4 linked regions of the Drosophila melanogaster genome follow. The gene in region 4 interacts genetically with the main gene of each other region. Each region holds a gene or a part of one and is shown on either strand. Other genes may lie near its edges. The genes, in order: ninaE, RacGAP84C, aru and hppy.

The links.
Region 1: of hppy (region 4) and ninaE, changing one enhances a phenotype caused by changing the other (phenotypic enhancement), as found in Drosophila melanogaster (one study listed by BioGRID).
Region 2: of hppy (region 4) and RacGAP84C, changing one enhances a phenotype caused by changing the other (phenotypic enhancement), as found in Drosophila melanogaster (one study listed by BioGRID).
Region 3: of hppy (region 4) and aru, changing one suppresses a phenotype caused by changing the other (phenotypic suppression), as found in Drosophila melanogaster (one study listed by BioGRID).

The regions. Positions count from the first base shown.
Region 1 is NT_033777.3:19,885,723-19,890,218, reverse strand, and holds ninaE (neither inactivation nor afterpotential E), read left to right. Parts: upstream 1-2,012; 5' UTR 2,013-2,188; coding exon 2,189-2,196; intron 2,197-2,259; coding exon 2,260-2,820; intron 2,821-2,995; coding exon 2,996-3,143; intron 3,144-3,201; coding exon 3,202-3,479; intron 3,480-3,547; coding exon 3,548-3,674; 3' UTR 3,675-3,964; downstream 3,965-4,496. Other genes in the region: Ask1 (apoptotic signal-regulating kinase 1), read right to left, coding at 4,488-4,496. UniProt on the Drosophila melanogaster protein: Visual pigments are the light-absorbing molecules that mediate vision. They consist of an apoprotein, opsin, covalently linked to cis-retinal.
Region 2 is NT_033777.3:7,284,298-7,288,148, forward strand, and holds RacGAP84C (Rac GTPase activating protein at 84C), read left to right. Parts: upstream 1-1,664; 5' UTR 1,665-1,807; coding exon 1,808-2,127; intron 2,128-2,263; coding exon 2,264-3,071; coding exon of another isoform or gene 3,072-3,095; exon of another isoform or gene 3,096-3,154; intron 3,155-3,191; coding exon 3,192-3,218; 3' UTR 3,219-3,332; downstream 3,333-3,851.
Region 3 is NT_033779.5:861,312-867,475, reverse strand, and holds aru (arouser), read left to right. Parts: upstream 1-1,614; 5' UTR 1,615-1,649; intron 1,650-2,415; 5' UTR 2,416-2,567; coding exon 2,568-2,599; intron 2,600-2,681; coding exon 2,682-3,078; intron 3,079-3,137; coding exon 3,138-3,281; intron 3,282-3,341; coding exon 3,342-4,913; intron 4,914-4,977; coding exon 4,978-5,157; intron 5,158-5,217; coding exon 5,218-5,310; 3' UTR 5,311-5,627; downstream 5,628-6,164. Other genes in the region: CG13950 (uncharacterized protein), read right to left, coding at 5,780-6,047, 6,119-6,164.
Region 4 is NT_033778.4:19,176,834-19,181,763, forward strand, and holds the start of hppy (happyhour), read left to right. Parts: upstream 1-1,904; 5' UTR 1,905-2,039; intron 2,040-2,665; 5' UTR 2,666-2,899; coding exon 2,900-3,025; intron 3,026-4,930. Other genes in the region: CG10737 (uncharacterized protein), read left to right, coding at 108-156.

The sequences.
Region 1 (4,496 bases), on a different chromosome or scaffold from region 4:
GCTAAAAGTACAGCTCAGCAGCAGTGAGAGAGTAGGAGAGCGGCGCCCGAAAAGATCCATTACTTTGGCGTTCTTTGAGCAGCCGCTCCATCATCCTCTCGCTCTCTCTCTCTGCGCTCTCACCTACCCCCACACGACGGCGCAGCGGCAGCGACGTCGGCAGAACACTTGCCGCCGTTTACCCACTCACACGCACACTCACACACGCGTCACTCACACTGGCGAGCGCGAATCCATTGTCGAACATAAAAATACAAAAATCAAATCATAGGTGTTTGTTAATTATACACTGTGCCCTGGAGCCAGGGTGTCACGGTTCGTTTGAGAAGTTTGGACATGTCACGTAAATACCAGGTATTATAATAAAACGCTATTATTTGAATATAATAATAATATTATATTATAAGCATATTATATTATACTTACTTATACTTTACTTACTTATTAAATTCGTGAAATATACAGAGCATACTTTCAGGTACATACACCCCGAACTCAAATCTTTATCGTTATCAATACACGATCAACATAAATGTATTATTGTCGTATTAAATATTACAGAGAAGGGCATTCAAAGTGCCGGGTAAGTTTGGTTCTGCCTCTCTAGTTTCAAATTTGCCCGCCTCATTGAGCAGGAAAACAACAAATTCCCCAACAATAACAACGTCTACGGATCGCAGCGTTTATCTCGCTTATTTGCTAATGCTAAATGATCGTCTTCTTCCCCGCCTTCGGCGGCCTTCTTCCACTTCACATCGCAATGTTTGTTGCAAGTTGGCTTGTCCATATGTCTCTGTTGTTGCTATACCCATTTCGTTACTTGGCTTTTATGTTTGGGCCATCTAGCAGGTGGGCGGGGGACTTTTGTTGTTTAGCGAAACCCGAAAATGCCGAATAAATTGAAATGCGATTCATGGTTTATACCCAGATTATTTGTATATATGCATACACAGAACTGTAGGTAAATACGTAAGTATGGGAACCGCAAGTGCGGCTAACGATGACGCCAATATAATGATCATGATGATCAAATTGATGGTAATGATAATGGCGATATGAGCGCAGCTTCCGGTTTTGCGCCTCGGTATTTTTGTTAGTTTTTTGCGCTGGCTAACTTTATATGAATATTTATTACCTGCGCTTTTTTTGTATTGTTTTGCGGTGTGTAATTGATTTAAACCGAAAGATCTGCCGACATGTGTCGACTGTCACACCAGCTGACAGTTATTTCGGTTTAGTTCCATATTTGGGTTGGGCGCAAAGCGTGGCATCCCATTTGGCCATTTGGATTAGCCTAAAACTTGACCCAATTCAAGCTGATGTGTTGAGCCATCGCACAAAGGCGAACAAAAGGCTTTTATGCCAAAGCTGGACTGACAAAATAAAATCCAAGCTGCCCACACCAAAAAGAAAAGAAACAAAACATGTTCGGAAAATTCAATGGAGGTGCGAAAAGATCAATCAGCACAAAAAATCCATAAGCGGCTTAGCGTCTGGGGTGTTCATATTCTTAATTTAAATAGATTATTTTACTACTTCCAAAAGCTGGCATTCTTTTTAAGATAATCCAAGATTAGCAGAGCCCTCAAGATGTGCGTTCATCGGCGCACACACTGCGTATACTTGATTGCGCATACGCACTGGTGTCGCAGGCGAACGATACTGATATTTCTTCTGCTACGATATGTTTTCATAATATTCTTCAAATTTGTCTAGGCATTGACACATTAAATCGCTGACTTTCGCCATTGCTTTCTGCACAATCTGGAGACTCAAGAATAATACTCGGCCAGAACCCCCAGTGGAAACCCTTGAAATGCCTTTAACTATTGACATTGGCCCATTGCGATGTGCGCTTGCTTTCGTTATGGATATTATGATTATAAGCCAAAAGCTGTCGACACTTTCCTCTGCACATTGCAGACATATTTTTAGGCTGGCCTAATTGAATTTCAAGAGCAGGGGTTACACGAGCACCGCGAAAACTATAAAAGCCATGCGGCAGAATGCAGACATTGCAGGTTTCCAACGACCAATCGCCGCGACTAGTCCGCCCCAGTGAAATATTCAGAATCCAGGAACCCTTTATGTAAAAAGTGTTAGAAATATTGTTAGTGAATTTGCAGCTTTTTATGTAGACAGTGTGATATAGGCGGGATATAGTGACGCAGCCAGTAACCAAAACACAATGGAGAGGTACGATCGGTGGATCCACTGGATGTTCTGGTTAGCAATTTAACATTTGCTTCGGTGTTGCAGCTTTGCAGTAGCAGCCGCGCAACTGGGGCCACACTTTGCCCCCCTGTCCAATGGATCGGTGGTGGACAAGGTCACGCCCGACATGGCCCACCTGATCAGCCCGTACTGGAACCAGTTCCCCGCCATGGACCCCATTTGGGCCAAGATCCTGACCGCCTACATGATCATGATCGGCATGATTTCCTGGTGCGGAAATGGCGTGGTGATCTACATATTCGCCACCACCAAATCACTGCGCACGCCCGCTAACCTGCTGGTCATCAACCTGGCCATCTCCGACTTTGGCATCATGATCACAAACACGCCCATGATGGGCATAAATCTGTATTTCGAGACCTGGGTGCTCGGACCCATGATGTGCGACATATACGCCGGACTGGGCTCGGCCTTTGGCTGCAGCTCCATCTGGTCCATGTGCATGATCTCCCTGGATCGCTACCAAGTGATCGTCAAGGGCATGGCCGGCCGGCCGATGACCATTCCGCTGGCCCTGGGCAAGATTGCCTACATCTGGTTCATGTCGAGCATTTGGTGCCTGGCGCCCGCCTTCGGCTGGAGCAGGTGAGTCCTTGAAATGGTAAACCTTCTGGGAACCCATTTTTTAAAAAATGATCAAAGCTACTATATACAAATGTTTAAAAACTTAAATTACAAACAAAAGGTTTACAAATTACAATTGTATTAATATTATTACCACCTAACATTATCCTATAAATATATATTCTTAATCTAAAAGGTATGTGCCGGAGGGTAACCTGACCTCGTGCGGTATTGACTACTTGGAACGCGACTGGAACCCACGCTCATACCTGATCTTCTACTCCATCTTCGTGTACTATATTCCGCTGTTCCTGATCTGCTACTCTTACTGGTTCATCATTGCTGTAAGTGGCGACGAGACTCGCATATCCCAGTCGCTTAACCCGATATATCCTCCCACAGGCTGTCTCCGCCCACGAGAAGGCCATGCGCGAGCAGGCCAAGAAGATGAATGTCAAGTCCCTCCGCTCCTCTGAGGATGCCGAGAAGAGCGCCGAGGGCAAGCTGGCCAAGGTGGCTCTGGTCACCATCACGCTGTGGTTCATGGCGTGGACACCATACCTGGTCATCAACTGCATGGGACTGTTCAAGTTCGAGGGCCTTACACCACTGAATACCATTTGGGGAGCTTGCTTCGCCAAATCGGCCGCCTGCTACAATCCAATTGTATACGGCATCAGGTTGGTTATGGGCTATGAAACGTATATACCTTAATATTTAACCAATTTTTTATTTTCATTCCGTATAGCCATCCGAAATATCGCCTGGCCCTCAAGGAGAAGTGTCCTTGCTGCGTCTTTGGCAAGGTCGACGATGGCAAATCGAGCGATGCCCAATCGCAGGCCACCGCCAGCGAGGCCGAGTCCAAGGCATAAATTCTTTGGCGCAACAACCAGAACAGCAACAACAACAACAAGAACATCTAACTACTTACAACAGCAACAACAACAGCAACAAAAACAACAGCAAGAACAACTGCAGCAACAGAACGAAACGCTTTCGAATAACATCAAAAACTTCAACAATAATGAAAAAATTATGCAACTTTCTTACATAACAAAAAGCAATGTAAACTCAGTTATTAAATTTCCTGCAATGTCAGTTAAGGACAAAAAAAAACTCAACAAAAAAAATAAATGCAAACGAACTAGAAAAGTTATAAATTAAAATGAGCCTTTTCAAAACATAGTATATCTAACAAAAGCAGCTTTTAGCGTGGAAAAACCCTAATGACGAACCTACAAAAGTTCGGATATCAACTTTCGGTTATCTTTCGCCTTTAAAGTTTGGAGAACCACAACAAATTTGAGTTTATTCATTCTTATATGTATAATAGTCTTCTTCAGAAGCTATAAATCCTTTCCAGTTAACAAGAAATACCCCTTTTTTGCAAAGCACTTCACAATATATTATCTATTTCAGTTTTTGTTTTCTTTTTTTTTTAAATTAAAGGCACTTATGTAAATTCCATTTTTATAAGTTAACATGCAATCGTTAAAACTGGACACACAGACAACGCCTTTTCGAACTCAAAGTTGAAAAGACATGAGTCAGCATGGGAGAACTTAACCCAGGGCTGCTGGAGACTCATTGAGCTGAGCCTCGCAGCGGTTAGTAGCACATGGAGAACATTAACAATTAATCAGTAGTATCTGTAAAGGCACAACTCAGAAAGCTTTCAACTCCAGTCACTCGCT
Region 2 (3,851 bases), on a different chromosome or scaffold from region 4:
TGGTTTTAGTACAGAAAACCATGTGCTAAGATGTTTTTAAGCAACATCCTGAATCTATAACAATTGCGTTAAACTTTTTCATTCTGTTAAGAAGCTTTAAAGTTGAAATATTTTGAGCTCGATGCAACCAAATAATTCCTTAAATTTTGGAGGCACCGGATAAAAACATTTTGATCAACTTTTGTGTGTGAAAAATTAATTATCACCACGTGGCAACACTGTCAACGTGCTTTGATGCCATTTTTTCCCACTCGTTTTTGCCCAGAACTCCCCTCTTTTTTGTATGTTTTGTGGATGTCCAAACATTTTTTATGCTGTTTTGTTGTGTTTCTGTACTTTTTTTTTTTGCTTTTTGGAATACGCAACGGACAGACACACACATAGGGCCACACACGTATTTGAACACACACAGTCAGAGGCGAATCAGAAAAAGTACAAAAAAGCATTTTGGGAAAAGTGGAGTGAGGAGTGAGGCAGGGGATTGCATGGGCTTATTGCGATGCGTGACTCGTATTTGTGGACTTTGAATACAAACAAAACAGTCGGACACAGATAGAAGCCCACACAAGTGCAATTATGAATACTACGCCCACACACACGCCGCATAATCACAGAGAGAGACACTCTCACTCACTGCAATGTGTGCATTTCAATACGCATTAATAACTACGAATTCAATGTGGCAGTGGCAACCATCCTTAGTATTTCAGCCCAAAGCTCACACACACCTAAACCCACACCCTCAAATGCTCACGCACACATAGGCACACCGGCGTCAATGCAGCTGACGCCTAAAAAACGACTACAAAAAAGCATAAAAATCCAATTCCCCGCCTTGCTCGTTAATTTTGCTGGCGCTGCTCTTCAATTCACAGCCCAAAACTGAAAAGTGCCATGATAATTTTGTTTTTACTCTATCCAAACTTTAAAATCGCATAAAAATCAATGCCAATGATGCCATTAAATCAACAGACAGATCCATGTTTCGTTTTCCACAAAAGTTCCAAGCTCGAAGTCCCTTTAAATTCTAATTTTTGTGTTTTTTTAGCAGCACGTTTACTCAACATTTTCGCTTTCTGACGTTCCGGCCTCACATGAACTGCAGCATTTTTTCGTGCTACATTTTTGCTGGTTGCATTCTATGTCTGGTGGCCGCAAAACGGTTTTCCATGAATTTTTCATCCATTTAGCGGCGCCATTGAGCCATTTTCTGGGCGCTTAGAATTCATAGATACTTTAGCAAATTGTTTTTTTAGTTCGATTTTCTACATTCTTTTTGTTTTTAGGGATTTTTAGCTTTTGTATCGTGACATTGAATCTCGGTGTGATTGATTGTCTTTAACGATTTAATTGAATCGAAAATATAAAAAGATCACCACTGACTTGTTTATATGAAGAAGACAGGGCAAATATCTGTTATTGTTAGGCACAAAAAATGTTTATAATAATTTGATTCACTTTTTTTTTGTATTGAAAACAGCATTTTTGATATTTCTTAGTAACACCTTAGTCGCCCATTAAATTTCTGCGGAGCACCCTAGATGTGTGTATGAATTATCCAGAAATATTTACAAATGTACGACCCACAGTAGGCACTCTCTATGGGTGATCGAATTTTTGTGCTGCCAGAACTATTTAAGCTATCAGCTTTCACCCGATTCCAAATAAACCGTAAGAGTAAATAAACATTTCGGTCGAGTATTCGGAGAAGCGAGCCGATAACTTCTGCGTAGCTGACTCAAGCCGAAGTGGCCTCTCTTCGGAAATTGCCAACTGACCAGAACAGCTGAATCAATTCGCCAACTTTATGATTAGTGGCTCTGGGAGTCGGACGCCCTCAAATCGACTTTATTTGTCGCCCGTTCGCCCCACGATGCAGAACAAACGGAGGCTTCTGCGGGAGTACAGGTCCTACGATGACCTCAGCGAGCACTACCGCATGTTTGGATCGCAGTCCCTGGACTCGCTGCAGGATCGCGTGGACATGAATCCCAGTGGCTGCGATGGCTTATCCACGGACGGACTCGACTTCTGCTCGCAGTCCCACTCGGGGCTGCTGAGGGAGCACAATTTCAAGATTAAGTCCTACTACTACAACGTGGGGAACTGCGTACACTGCCGCAAAAGGTGAGTTGCAATCACCGAATGGTGGAACTTCTGAGAGGATTTCGAATTCAGGGAAAACATGAAAAGTTAAATAACATCCCAACCCTCTCTGACCAGCATTTACCTCCCTAACCGCGTGTCCCTGGTCTTCTTCCAGGATCCGCTTCGCCATGGCCAGCCTGAGGTGTCGGGCGTGTCCGCTCCGCTGCCACATCGGTTGCTGCCGCCAGCTGACGGTGAACTGCATCCCCCAGCCTCAAATCGGTACGAAGAGAGGATGTCTCAGCGATTATGCGCCTCGGGTGGCGCCCATGGTGCCGGCCTTAATTGTCCATTGTGTAACGGAGATCGAGGCGCGGGGATTGCAGCAGGAGGGACTCTACCGGGTGTCCTCCACCCGAGAGAAATGCAAACGACTGCGTCGGAAGCTGCTGCGTGGCAAGTCCACGCCGCATTTGGGCAATAAAGACACCCACACACTGTGCTGTTGTGTTAAGGACTTTCTTCGGCAGTTGGTTCACCCTCTGATTCCCATTTACCACCGAAGGGATTTCGAGGAGGCCACGCGGCACGAAGATCGTCTGGCTGTGGAGATGGCGGTATATTTAGCGGTTCTGGAGCTGCATCAGGCTCACAGGGATACGTTGGCCTACTTAATGCTTCACTGGCAGAAAATTGCCGAAAGTCCTGCTGTCCGCATGACGGTCAACAATCTTGCCGTGATCTTCGCTCCAACTCTGTTCGGAGATCTGGATCTAACCCTCGAAAATGTCGTCACTTGGCAGCGGGTGCTGAAGGTGCTACTTCTGATGCCTGCCGGATTTTGGTCTCAGTTCTTGGAGGTCCATCCCCTTCCCACTTCGTTGGGCAGCACCTATGACTTTGAGGACCGGTACAATCACCGTCACTGGGACAGCTCGTCCAATCTGGGATGGTCTTCTGTTAAGACCTACTTTAGATCAATGGTAAGACCTATGGTTTCCCTTTAACGGATTTGGATAGAATTTCATATTCGAATAAGCCAAACTCAATACAAGCAATCAAACATATCATACAAATCTTTCACTGAATACTTCCTGTTTCAGGTCAACCTTAGCAGTACTCACCTATAGTGAAAGTCTTATGACTGAGACATCGAGAATGGATGCAGTCACCCTTTTTTATTTTATTTTGTATTTTTTTTCATTATTCACTACAGTTGAAGAACTAATAATAATTGGATCTCTAACATGTTGTGTATGTGTTGTTGAATTATATGCGGCTAACAAGAGTACTTGACATCTCAAGTGCAATACTTGATTTATTGAATCACCAAAAGATACTCTCAGAAAACACCCATTATTTCCATATATGAAATTCGGCTAATTAAATATAAAGCCAGGCCAAAATCTTATTCGCACCACATAAATAATCTAGCATGGCCCAGAGCGACGTTATCGCAAAACTATATATTTCGAGTATTGAAACATTAATAAACATTTTTAATTGAATTTGCAATTTTTTTCGCCGAACGTTGATTAATTCCCAACCGTTGAAAACATGTAAAAAATTAATAATTTCCATTTCCCATATTTATGTTTCTTTGAAGCGTAAACCAAAGCACAAAGTAAAATATTTTGCCGCGAACACATATAAATAAGTTAAAGCGCCAAGAAAAAAGTTAGCATTTTAAAAACAATTTGGAGAGTGCCGTGCAAAAAAGTGCGGCCATTAAATGCAAAAAACAAGCAAAGCAAAACAAAACT
Region 3 (6,164 bases), on a different chromosome or scaffold from region 4:
AGAGCTTCAAGGATGTTATTTTCAATTAGATTACTTATTTGAGGGTCCACTGTATATCCGCGCTCGCACATTACTGTGAAGCCTCACCTGTGTGAGTGCGGCTTATAGGCGACGTGTGTGTGTGTGTCTGAGAGAGGCTCGTGGAATATAAACAGCGCACAGTGAGAGAGGAAAACGGAAAACAGGTGGAAAAGAAAGCTTAAAAAATGCGGTCGGTCAAAAACTAAAGTTGCAGCAACAGGCGAGGGGGTGGCGGGTGCCGGGGGGCTCGAGACACGGAGACAAATACCTTTTCAAGCCGCACACACCAGCGCAAGCAAAGACGTCAGCTTATCTGCCACGCATGCGCGCGAGGGGGACGACAATAGTGTGGATCGGGGTGTCGATGTCTCTCCACCCCCCTCCAGCCCACCACCATCTAACGAGCGGGTTTCCACCCAAAGAACAGCAAAAACAACTATTGTCATTTGTTGTTTTGCCATTTGCTTCGTAAACCAAAAAGTATGCGAGATAAAATAAAAAAGCAAGTGTACCGCACGCCGCCGTTTTATCTAAATCCCAGCTGTCTGAATTATTTGAGGCTCTAACACCCCATCTCACGCTTATCAGGACCCAATTAATTATCTTCACCTGAATGGAAGCTATGCTTGGGGCATGTCTCCAGGTTTATGGTTCTTGTCGGGGAGTTCTTAGATACCAGTGCAGTTATGTATCTTAGATTGCCTTACCGAGGCTTATAATTTTCCCCTATTTACAGATGCATAGATACATATGTGTGGATTGCAAATATTTCAAGATTATAGAAGTACAAAAGTAGTAATACTTATATTATAAACATATATGTATTTCATTTAGCATAATGTTTTTGTAGATGTTTATGATGACTTAACTTAACTTCAAATCACCCAGCAGCTTTAGTACTTTCTCTAAAGCATGATTTATGCAAGCCCAACTATTTCCATGTTACCCAAGTGCGATAATGTTTATCGCGTTTCGTCATTGGCCTCTAAGCTGCTGTAGAGTTAGGAGCGAAAACACAAATCTGTCAAATTCCACAAGTGTGATGCAATTTGGGGCTTGTACGAACAGTAAAACGCTGAAATATAACACAGCGGCGCAACTTAACGAAAACAAAACATTTCCAGGGGTGTAGTGGGTCAGTGTTTTCTTTTTTACGTGCACTTCGCTTGTTTGTTTACTGCGATTTTGGCTTGTACAAGATCGTAAGCAGATAGTGCCTCCAGCTGACCCCCTCTGCAGTTTCTCTTTCACCTGTTTGCAAGTACACAAGCACCCAACACCCCCTTTCCCCTGTCCATTGACCCTGCGACACTGCTGGATTGATACACTGAAAACAATCGACAAACTTGGGGGTGTTTCTATCATGGAAAATGTTGTTAACATTTAAAAATGGTTAGAACTACATTCTAGAGACTTTCTCGCCATAGGATTATTATAATGATTTTCAATATCTTTATAAAAACAGTAGCGATTTTTGCTTAGTGTAGATAGGTATGCGACACCGCTGCCCGCGTCGCAGTCGGCGTCTGAGCCCAGCCTAAAACAGCGGAAAAGTTGTTGCTGTCACTTGAGTCGAGGGAGCGGTTTGGATAGAGTCTGCGAGGGTTAGAGCGAGAGGGAGCGAGAAAGTGTGTTTGCAAATCTCAGTTTTACGTGTGTGTGTGTGTCTTTTGCAGGTGTGTTCACTGGCTACACAGAAAAAATAAGAGAGATTTATCCGAGTGTTGAAAAGAATGTTACTGTGACATAGAACCATAGTTGGCCTAATTTTTGAAGATAAGAGCTATTACTCTACAATTACTCTCTATTACATCTACAATGCAATACAATTTGCTGCTGTTAATACAAATAAGATGAATATAATCGGAAGTAAACTATCCAAAGATATTCTCTGTGTAGTCAAAGTGGAGACACCGAGCTTAGAGGAGAACCTGGGGAAGTGGAAGTAGCGCGATTTTTGAATTCCAATGCTGATCCAAGCCAACAACGAAATGTTAAAGTTTGAGAATAATTGCGGCCATGTGCGGATCGCTTGGAGTGTGTATGCCAACGCTAGTGGAGGCTTGGAATCGGAATGCGGTCTGAGTCAGAGACGATTGGCTGCGCAATATCCAAGTGGCTTGGCGGGATTAGGGGCCTTCGGATGCAGAGGGACTTAGTCTCAGCTGCACAAAATAAACACAGCATAATGATCTAACACATACTTTAGGACCAATTTTCGTATTCGACACTCATAAGATTTCAGCTCGAAGACTCGGTCAGCGGAGGCTTTAAGGTCTTGAGAGACCAAATTGGGAACCAGACTTCCAAGGGGCTTAACCACACCCCTGCCAATAGGAAATTTAGTTTTGGGAATACTATTCTAATCAAGTTAAACATGTTTTTCGACAGCAGTCACGATATAATGTTTTAGTCATTGGAATAAGCGATTAAATGGGATTATTAAAAGCATACACATAATTCTAAATATTATTTTCAAATGACGATAGTTCAACTCGACCTAAGAAGCAAAAGTATAAGTTGGTAACGATCAAAACTTTTAATCAATGTTTAAGCTACTAAGTTCATCATTTAAACGGTAACTTATATTTTAAACGAATCAAAGACCGATATACAAAATTGTTGACGATGATGATGATGTGAAAAAATTTTATTTTTAGACGGAGCTTCAGACGTCGATCGAAGCCTGTACCGGGATTGGGAGACACCATGGTGAACCACCACTCGAACGGAGGCGGCAGTGCTGGAAACAGTAGCGGAAGCCTAAGAGGAGGCGGTGCCCATGGAGGCGGCGGCGGAGGAGGAGACTATTCCGGAGACGATCGCAGCGGAGGCGGCGAGGAGCGGGAGCGTCTGGAGAGTGACTTGCACGACAAGCCCACCTACCTGCTGGAACACCTGGCCACCTTCACGGTCAACAAGGAGTCCGGCATTGTGTATCCGGCGGACGGAATGCGTCGCCTCCTTCAGCTGGAGAAGACCACGGGTATTTGGTCGCAGAAGATGCAGCTCTGCCTGGACTATCAGTGGGTGCTAATTATGGACTATGAAACAGGGGTACGTTTCACAAACTGGGAAAGATCCTTATGGAACTCATCTTCATCCTTGCCTTACAGAACATAATCGAAAGATTCCCCGCCTCCTTGGTTCAGGAGCCCACCGCATTCACCTCGAATGACGCCATGGAGCTATACAACAACATTCTGGTCTTTATCGTATCCGGAGGCGGTGGTTCTCGCTCCGAGATGCACATATTCCAGGTGAGAATTAGTGAGGCTTCTGTCTCATGACAGTTTCATTCAAATGATTTATCCCTGCAGTCACAAAGTGTGTCCGCCGTTCACCTGGTTGAGGATCTGAAGCAGCTGAGAAGCGGCAAGATGATAACGCAGCAGCGCGGTGCCACACCCACTCAATCAGGAGGCGGAGGAGCCTCCAGCATGGCCATGATGATGAGCAAAACCTCCTCGTCCTCGTCGCATAGTAGAGTGGAGCTGCACCAGCACAGGGAGCAGCGGGCAGAGCGCGAGAGGGAGCGTGATCGAGACCGTGAGCGCGAAAGCCACCATCACATGCACCAAAGGAGCAGCATGGAACAGTATGGAATCCGTGCCGGAGTAGGAGTTTCTGGCGATGACGTTGCCCACATTAGTGGCGAGACGGATTCGGAACACGGTGGGATTGGGGGCGGTGGCGCAACGGAGCGCGATGAGACTAGCTCCACGTCCAGCGAGAAGTACGAGCGGGATGTGGCTGTGCTGAATCACTGTTTCGATGACATCGAGAAGTTCATAGCTCGTCTTCAGCACGCCGCCGCCGCTTCCCGGGAGCTCGAGCGCCGTCGTCGCAATCGGAAGTCGAAGAAAAGGGATCCGGGGGAGGGATTGCTCACTTTGAGGACACGGCCTCCCCACGAGAAGGAGTTCGTGGACATCTTTGCCAAGTTTAAGCTGTCATTTAACCTGCTGGCAAAGTTGAAGGCGCACATCCACGATCCCAACGCTCCCGAACTGGTGCATTTCCTCTTCACGCCGCTGGCTCTGATTGTGGAGGCCTCCAGCGACACGTACTACGAGTCACAGCTACCGGCCCGTGTGGTTAATCCCCTGCTGACCAGAGAGGCCATCAACCTGCTCATCAACTGTGTAACCAGCAAGGAAACGGAGCTGTGGCGCTCGTTGGGCGATGCCTGGGTGATCCCGCGAGATCAGTGGAAGGATGACGTTGGATCCTACCATCCGGTCTTCCTCGATGGCTGGTCACCGGACTATTTGATCAACGATGAACTGGAGCCACCACCAAATTCCCCGCCCGCTCATGTGAGCAAGCGCAGACTCGAGGTCCAGGCTGGATCCGGACTAAATGGTCGTGGGGGAGGCGGATACGATGACTACGACTCGGGGAACGGGATGAACATGGCCATGGGTATCGAGAAGTACACCATCCACCACGGCAACGACGGTTTAAGGGAGCGGGAAAGGGAGCGCGACAGAGAGCGGGCGGGCGCAATCAGTGCGTCTGACTTTAACGCCCGCAGCGAGCTGTCGTTCGACTCGATCGAAGGCAGGGGCGGCGGAGCAGCGGGACATGGCCATGGTCATGGCCACGGACCAGGAGCTGGACCAACCCTTAGCGCCATCACAGCTGGTCTGCAGAATCTGCATACGAGGGAATCTCGCAGTGGAAACGGGTACGGAGCAGGAGCTGGTCCGGGGCCTTCGTCGGAGTTGGGCGGTGGAGGCAGAGGCCTGCCGAATGTCAGCGACGACCAGATGCTCGAGTCCTGGCTGGAGGATCTGCAGGCGACGGGCGCTAAGATTGTGCTGGTCACCTATCCGCGAACCGCCAACAACGACAAGGAGCTTAGCGTGATGCGAGGCGAATACTTGGAGGTAAGGCCAGCACCCACGTTACCATCCTTCGTTCTGTCCTATAACCATCTCTTCGAAACTTTAGATCCTTGATGATACCCGAAAGTGGTGGAAGGCGCGCAACATGCGGGGTCAGGTGGCCCACGTGCCGCACACGATTGTAACCCCCTTCAATTTCGGGGATGGAGATGGAGCCCAGTTCTACGGGCAACAGCAGCAGCCACCGACGGGTCCCACAGGTCCGGGCAACAAATCGCGATCAGGGGTGAGTAAGGCTGGTCACTCAATTCATGATGGGACTTGCTAACCGCTCTACATTACCCAGGATAATCCCGGCATGGAACAGCGATCGCCGGATCCCACCGACATGATGCGCAGCAAGCATCTGGGCAAGAAGGGCGAGTTCCGCTACTTCTAGGATCGAGATGCGATCACCATATACATATACACATATTCCGTAGTGAGGATCTAGCGTTATAGAGAGACAGACATCAGCAGTTCCGTCTAGGATGCTAGTCCTGGTCACTAGCGATCGGATTGGCTCCAATACCTTGCACTCGCTCGCAGGAGTGTGCAAACCAGAACTAACCTTAAGACTAACCTAAGTGGAGCTCCAGACGGGAGCTGTTGAGCAGCACGTGGCTCCTGCTGAGGCGGATGCTTAAGCTGATGCTCATCCAGGCGAAAAGGGGAGGCGACGGCAATAATTTGTTTTAATAAAATTATATCCAAAGGAACCTGCCTATTGGTTGATGATTATTGAGGAGATTGTAGTTTGGAGAGCTGCTTTGCTTTATTTGGATGCTCACAAGAAGAAGTTAACTGGTGCTGTACGGTGATCAAAGCCAACGATTGAACAAAGAGCATACTACGAGAACTCGAATCGATTAAATGATGGACAACTTCTCCACGCGGGCCAGAAGCGGAGAATCGGAGTGGTACTCCAGGCTCCGCACGGCGAAGTCGCCCACTTCGTTGGTGAAGCACTTCAGAGTGGATATGGAGAAGGGGCGTCCGGGAAAGTTGTAGTAGGTGAAGTACTGCCCGTTGACGGCGATCAGGAAAGCCCGATCCCCGAGCCCAAAAGCGATCTTGAAGAGCTTTCCGCGCACAAATGGGAATTCGCCCTCGGTCTCCTCGTCGCTCAAGGCAAAACTAGAATAAGTGAGTAAAGGTGAATTCTCTTGGAGGAACTTTGCATATTGGAGTCTCGGACTCCTTTATACCTGTTGTCTTCACGCTGGTAGCTGCGTGACACGGTTGTCCGATCGA
Region 4 (4,930 bases):
AATACTAATTTATTGATTTCGTTTTATTTTTCTCTTTCCACACACACACACAACACAACACACGAATACGCACACCCACCCAATGAAACAAAAAATAAATAAAACAGAACGTCATTTCCGGTACTCACAGAGAGAGATATAAACCTAGTTAACTAAATCCTTATTTTGTGACCAATCCAACTATCTGAATACTTATTCTTTTGTAAACAACTTGAATCCGCCAAATGCAGTTTGATATTTACCAAGAGCAATTTTTGATTTACTCACTCCACTGAATTGGCGTCAGAAATGGAAAATTCGGCTTCGTTTTCCGGCTTCCGCTAGCATCCTCCCATACCCAATCGCACTGTCACCTCGCTTGGCCACGCTGTTTCATTATGTGTAATATAACTTCTGGGCACTAATTCGAGCTCTTTTTCTCATCGCATCCCTCACACGAAATACAACCAAACCACCCACACGGACACAGGATGGCCAGTGAGGAGTAGAAAGGTCTCAGCCACAGCACAGCATCTTTAAAGCCAGTTAAATACCATTCTTAAGTGCTATCCAAGCGATGTGCGAGTTCATTCTGACGCCATATATATACATATATATAGTTAAAAAAGAACCTACACAATCCTCCTTCGATTTGACCAAACAAAAAATAGAAAAAACTCCAGGGTTCTAGATCCGTTCTGCTGCAGTTTTGTGTGGTTCGCGCATTTTCCAGTTGACCCTTTGGCAGCTGGAAAATCGGGGTAAGCTGGCAACGCATTCGCATGAAATTCCTCGTTCTGCTCCACTGTGTTGTGTACTAAATTAACACTCTCGTTCGGTTTTGATCGCACTGCGATCCATACTAATGCAATTCCTTCTGAGGATTGTTCAGTTAATTCGTTCAGATTCGGCCTAATACTGTTTGAAGCTTGTTTTCCAATTGTTAACCATTGATATTGCACTTGTCTAGATATATCTAACGTTCGTTTTTCTCTTATTTTCACAGAACTAAACTCAATTCAGCGGCGGCAGATCGCAGCATACGGAAGCTGTGAATATGGGGAATACCCTGGAATCCAAGCCAGACAGCCCCAAGCCGAGAAACCTTAATCGAAATAATACCCTAGTTACATAGAAGTGAAGGAAGGAGCTGTGCTAACCATCTTCTTCTGCTATGGAACATCTCGATACATTTTACGTTATTTATTTATACACTCACGCGAACACACACATGTGCAATAAGTTCTTTGGATTCGTTTTTAACCCATTTCTCCGTGTCAACGTGCTCGAGCCCTTTGATATTTTGTATTTTCTACAAACACGAATAATAATTGTACAAAATAAAAGTGAATTAGGGTTTTTTTTTTAAATTAAACAACAAATTCGGTGAATCAATAAAGTTGTGATCACTAATAATACCGGATATTTTTCGGAAAGCAGTTGGCAGTAGTTTGCGTGTAGATATTAAACATTTCACTTGTTTCGAGTTTAGGATCCAATTGTTGTTGTTGGGAACGGCGGTCTGCACAAAGGAGTTTTCCCAGTTTGTGGCTGATTTAGGTCTTAGTAACGTAGGAAAGATTAAGGGGAAGTTCCTATAAAACATTGCTGATTGGCAATACAGTGACAAATCATTTGTATGACATTCTAATTAATAACTAAAGAAACATTGAAGTAGATTTGAGAGCTTTAACTAATGTATTCCTTTAACGCTGCTACTAAATGTACTTTCATGTGGATTCAATGATTCATTTTATTGAATTTCGAATGTCCTTCAGCAGTTTAAAAATTTCCCCTGTCTGGCCACCCCTTCTGGCCAACTAATATCGATATCTTCGAAACGACAGCCCGACAGAGTTGCCACCGCCGAACGACCAGCGCTGCTATCGATAGGCCCGCGGGCAGAGTGCCATCGCTAGCGAGGGGTGAGAGGAACAACAACATTTGTGGGCTGCGCGTTGACGAAGTGCATGTGAAATTTTTCGTGTTCGTAGGACAATTGTTAATTATCCACTGGCCGAATTTGCCCCGCAATCACGTGTCGGTGTAATATGTGAACGGTTTGTGGTGCTCACCTAGCGCTTAGCGAAAATCGGAATAAAATTATAAAAAAAAAATAATAAACGTAGTATTTACACCAGCAACAACAACACCACGAACGGGCGACAAAGCGACACGCCTCGCGTTGTTGTTTTTGTTGTCGCGTGTTTTTTTACTCGGCAGCACAGCAACTATTTATTTATTTAGGCAATTTCGCTGGCAAAAACAAAAGTGGCCTTCATAAATTCTAATAAAAAGTAATTAAAGTGCAAATGCATTGAGAAGCAAGGAAGAGGAGACGAGAAGATAAAGAATATATGCAGTGGAAGAGAGAGAGCGCGAACGAGAGAGGGGATTACAAAAAACGAGACATCGTTCACTTGCCCTCTCGCTCCCACCCCCGCGCTTTCTCCACCTTCTTCTCCACCCTGGCCTTTATCAAATTTGTTGTTGCTGCTTTATTTGCTGATTTTTGTTTTCATCGCTTTTTTTTTTATTCTGCGTCATAATTCGCGATTCTCTAGTTTCGTGTGTGTATCAATTCAATTCTCTGATCAGAATCTGATTCATATGAAATAAATGTATATGTTTAATACATAATATACAAAAGTCCAGTTAACCTTACGTAATTGTGTGTATTTCAAAGCGTCCAAAATGCATCTCGATCCACAAAAGTATCTAAATTTCGCCTGCTACGTGTGCTAATCAGTCAAACCCAAAAAACGAATAAAGCAGCGTCAAGAGTAAGAGTGTCAATCAAATATTAAGAGTATACCCACCCAGTAAAGAGAGGTCCAGCCAAAAGGACTCGATCGCCTCGAACCGAAAGCGGAAGCGGAAGCGGAAACGGCAACGGCATACGGATACGGAAGCTGCCAAGATGGCCGCCGCCCACAGTCACCACAATGCCAATATGCTCAGCTCGGACATCTCTCGCCGAAATCCGCAGGACGAGTACGAACTCATCCAAAAGATTGGCTCGGGAACCTACGGCGACGTCTATAAGGTGAGTCGAAATAGAAGCCTTTAGCTGTAGTACAAAGTGGTATTAGGAAGGGAAAGGCAAAAACTTCTAAATAAAAACAACAGCAAACAAAAGGCAAAGAAATTGCAAAGTGTGCTCTTTGGATTTAGAATGTTTCCCCAAAAATCCGTAAGTTTTTATAGTTTCCCTCACTGCAATTTTTGCATTCCGTCTGCACAGGAAAAAATTATCCAACAGTTCTCAAATTCGATTAATTCACTTTGAATTGTATCAGGAAGTTTTCTGTTCAATAAAGAGACATCACACATTATGTAACACTATTGCCTCATTGGATTGCAAAACCTAGGAATAATGTTCTTATTGGATAATTTTTGGACACATAATCAAGAATAAATTTTAAAGTTGAATGTGTTCCATATGGTAAAACTAGTTCTAGTCCGTTATGCATTTATAGAAAATGAATTTAGTTACATATCTCAATGTGGAGTATCATTATTGCTCACCACGCCACATAAATAATAAAATTGTATGTGCGTTAAAATGTAGAACGCATTAAATCATAAAGGAGGAATGTTTTTTTGCTCCAGTGCAAGAGTGCATGTACCCCCTCGATCTCCCCACCGCCACCCACTTGCAGACCCTCATTTGTACATCTGTTTGCCACAGCATGTTTCTCATTCCTTCACTACCCCCACCCCCCCTTCACTCCACATCCCTTTCAGCACCCCCTTCCCCCAAACCCCTCGCCCCGCCACAAACAAAAATATGCGCAATTTTAGTTTTCCATCTTCTTCTCTGTTGGATCGTTCTTTTTATACCATCCAACTTCCATGTTTACTCTTGCTGCCCGTCGAAGGGAAGTATGACAAATGCCCCGAAACGCCAGAGAAGTTGCCCTTGGGCGGGGGGGCGTGGCACGTTGCAATTGTTGTTGCCAGGGGCGGGATTATATGGGAATATATCGGGGGAGATATTATGGTATTTCTCATGTGCAGACCAAGGGTTAAGTTCCTCATTTTCCATATGGAATGCCTTTGAATTCGAGGGATTTCCCCAATTCGATTTATTGCATTCTAGTTGGCAACCCAAAATCTATAAATCATCAGCTTTTCGAACGTTTTCCATTCGATTAATTTTGACGAAATTGAAATTGATTAAATTTCACATTGCTCATAAAAGATGGGAATTCAATTAGTTTGTGCACTTTTGAAATTCGATATTAAGTATATCGTAATTTATAGATTTTAATTTGTAGAAAATGAGAGAATTGTTAATTAATTTGCTTTGGCATATTGATAACTTGGTTTGACAGCGCACAATGAAATCAATATGTCTATAATGTGCACCACAATTCTGCACGACATTTGAATGGTTTTTGACTCGCTTAATTTGAATGCTTAGGTTTTAAACAATATGTGCAGTTTTTTGGTTGGCTTTTGTTAATAACGTTTTATGTTGACTAAAGTCTTGTTTTTCTGTAAACTCAGGCAATCATTATTAGTCATCAAAGCGTAAGACTGTTGAGATTATGCTTATTCTTGCTCATCAGACTGATATTGGGACTTGATTCATTTTGCCTCACTTCAATTTATTCGATAAGCAGCCACGCGCTTGCATTGATTATTCGGATTAGTTTCGAATGTGTTATTTATTTATTTATTTATGTTTGCCCACATCTGGTTTTGTGGCCCTCTACTCATTTTGCCATCTGATTGTGTCTCGTTTTTGTTTTTTAGAGCCCGTTCCGTTCTGCTTTCTGTATCTTTTCTCCATGTTCCATCCATGAGATGCGTCATGCCATGAGTCCAAAGCCCATGGTTTCGGTTTCAATCCACCATGCAATTTACACTCTTTCGTTCCCCCTGCTTTTTACTTCGGTTTTTTTTTTATTTATTTTCACACCGAGGTATTTGGTTGTCAAGGGAA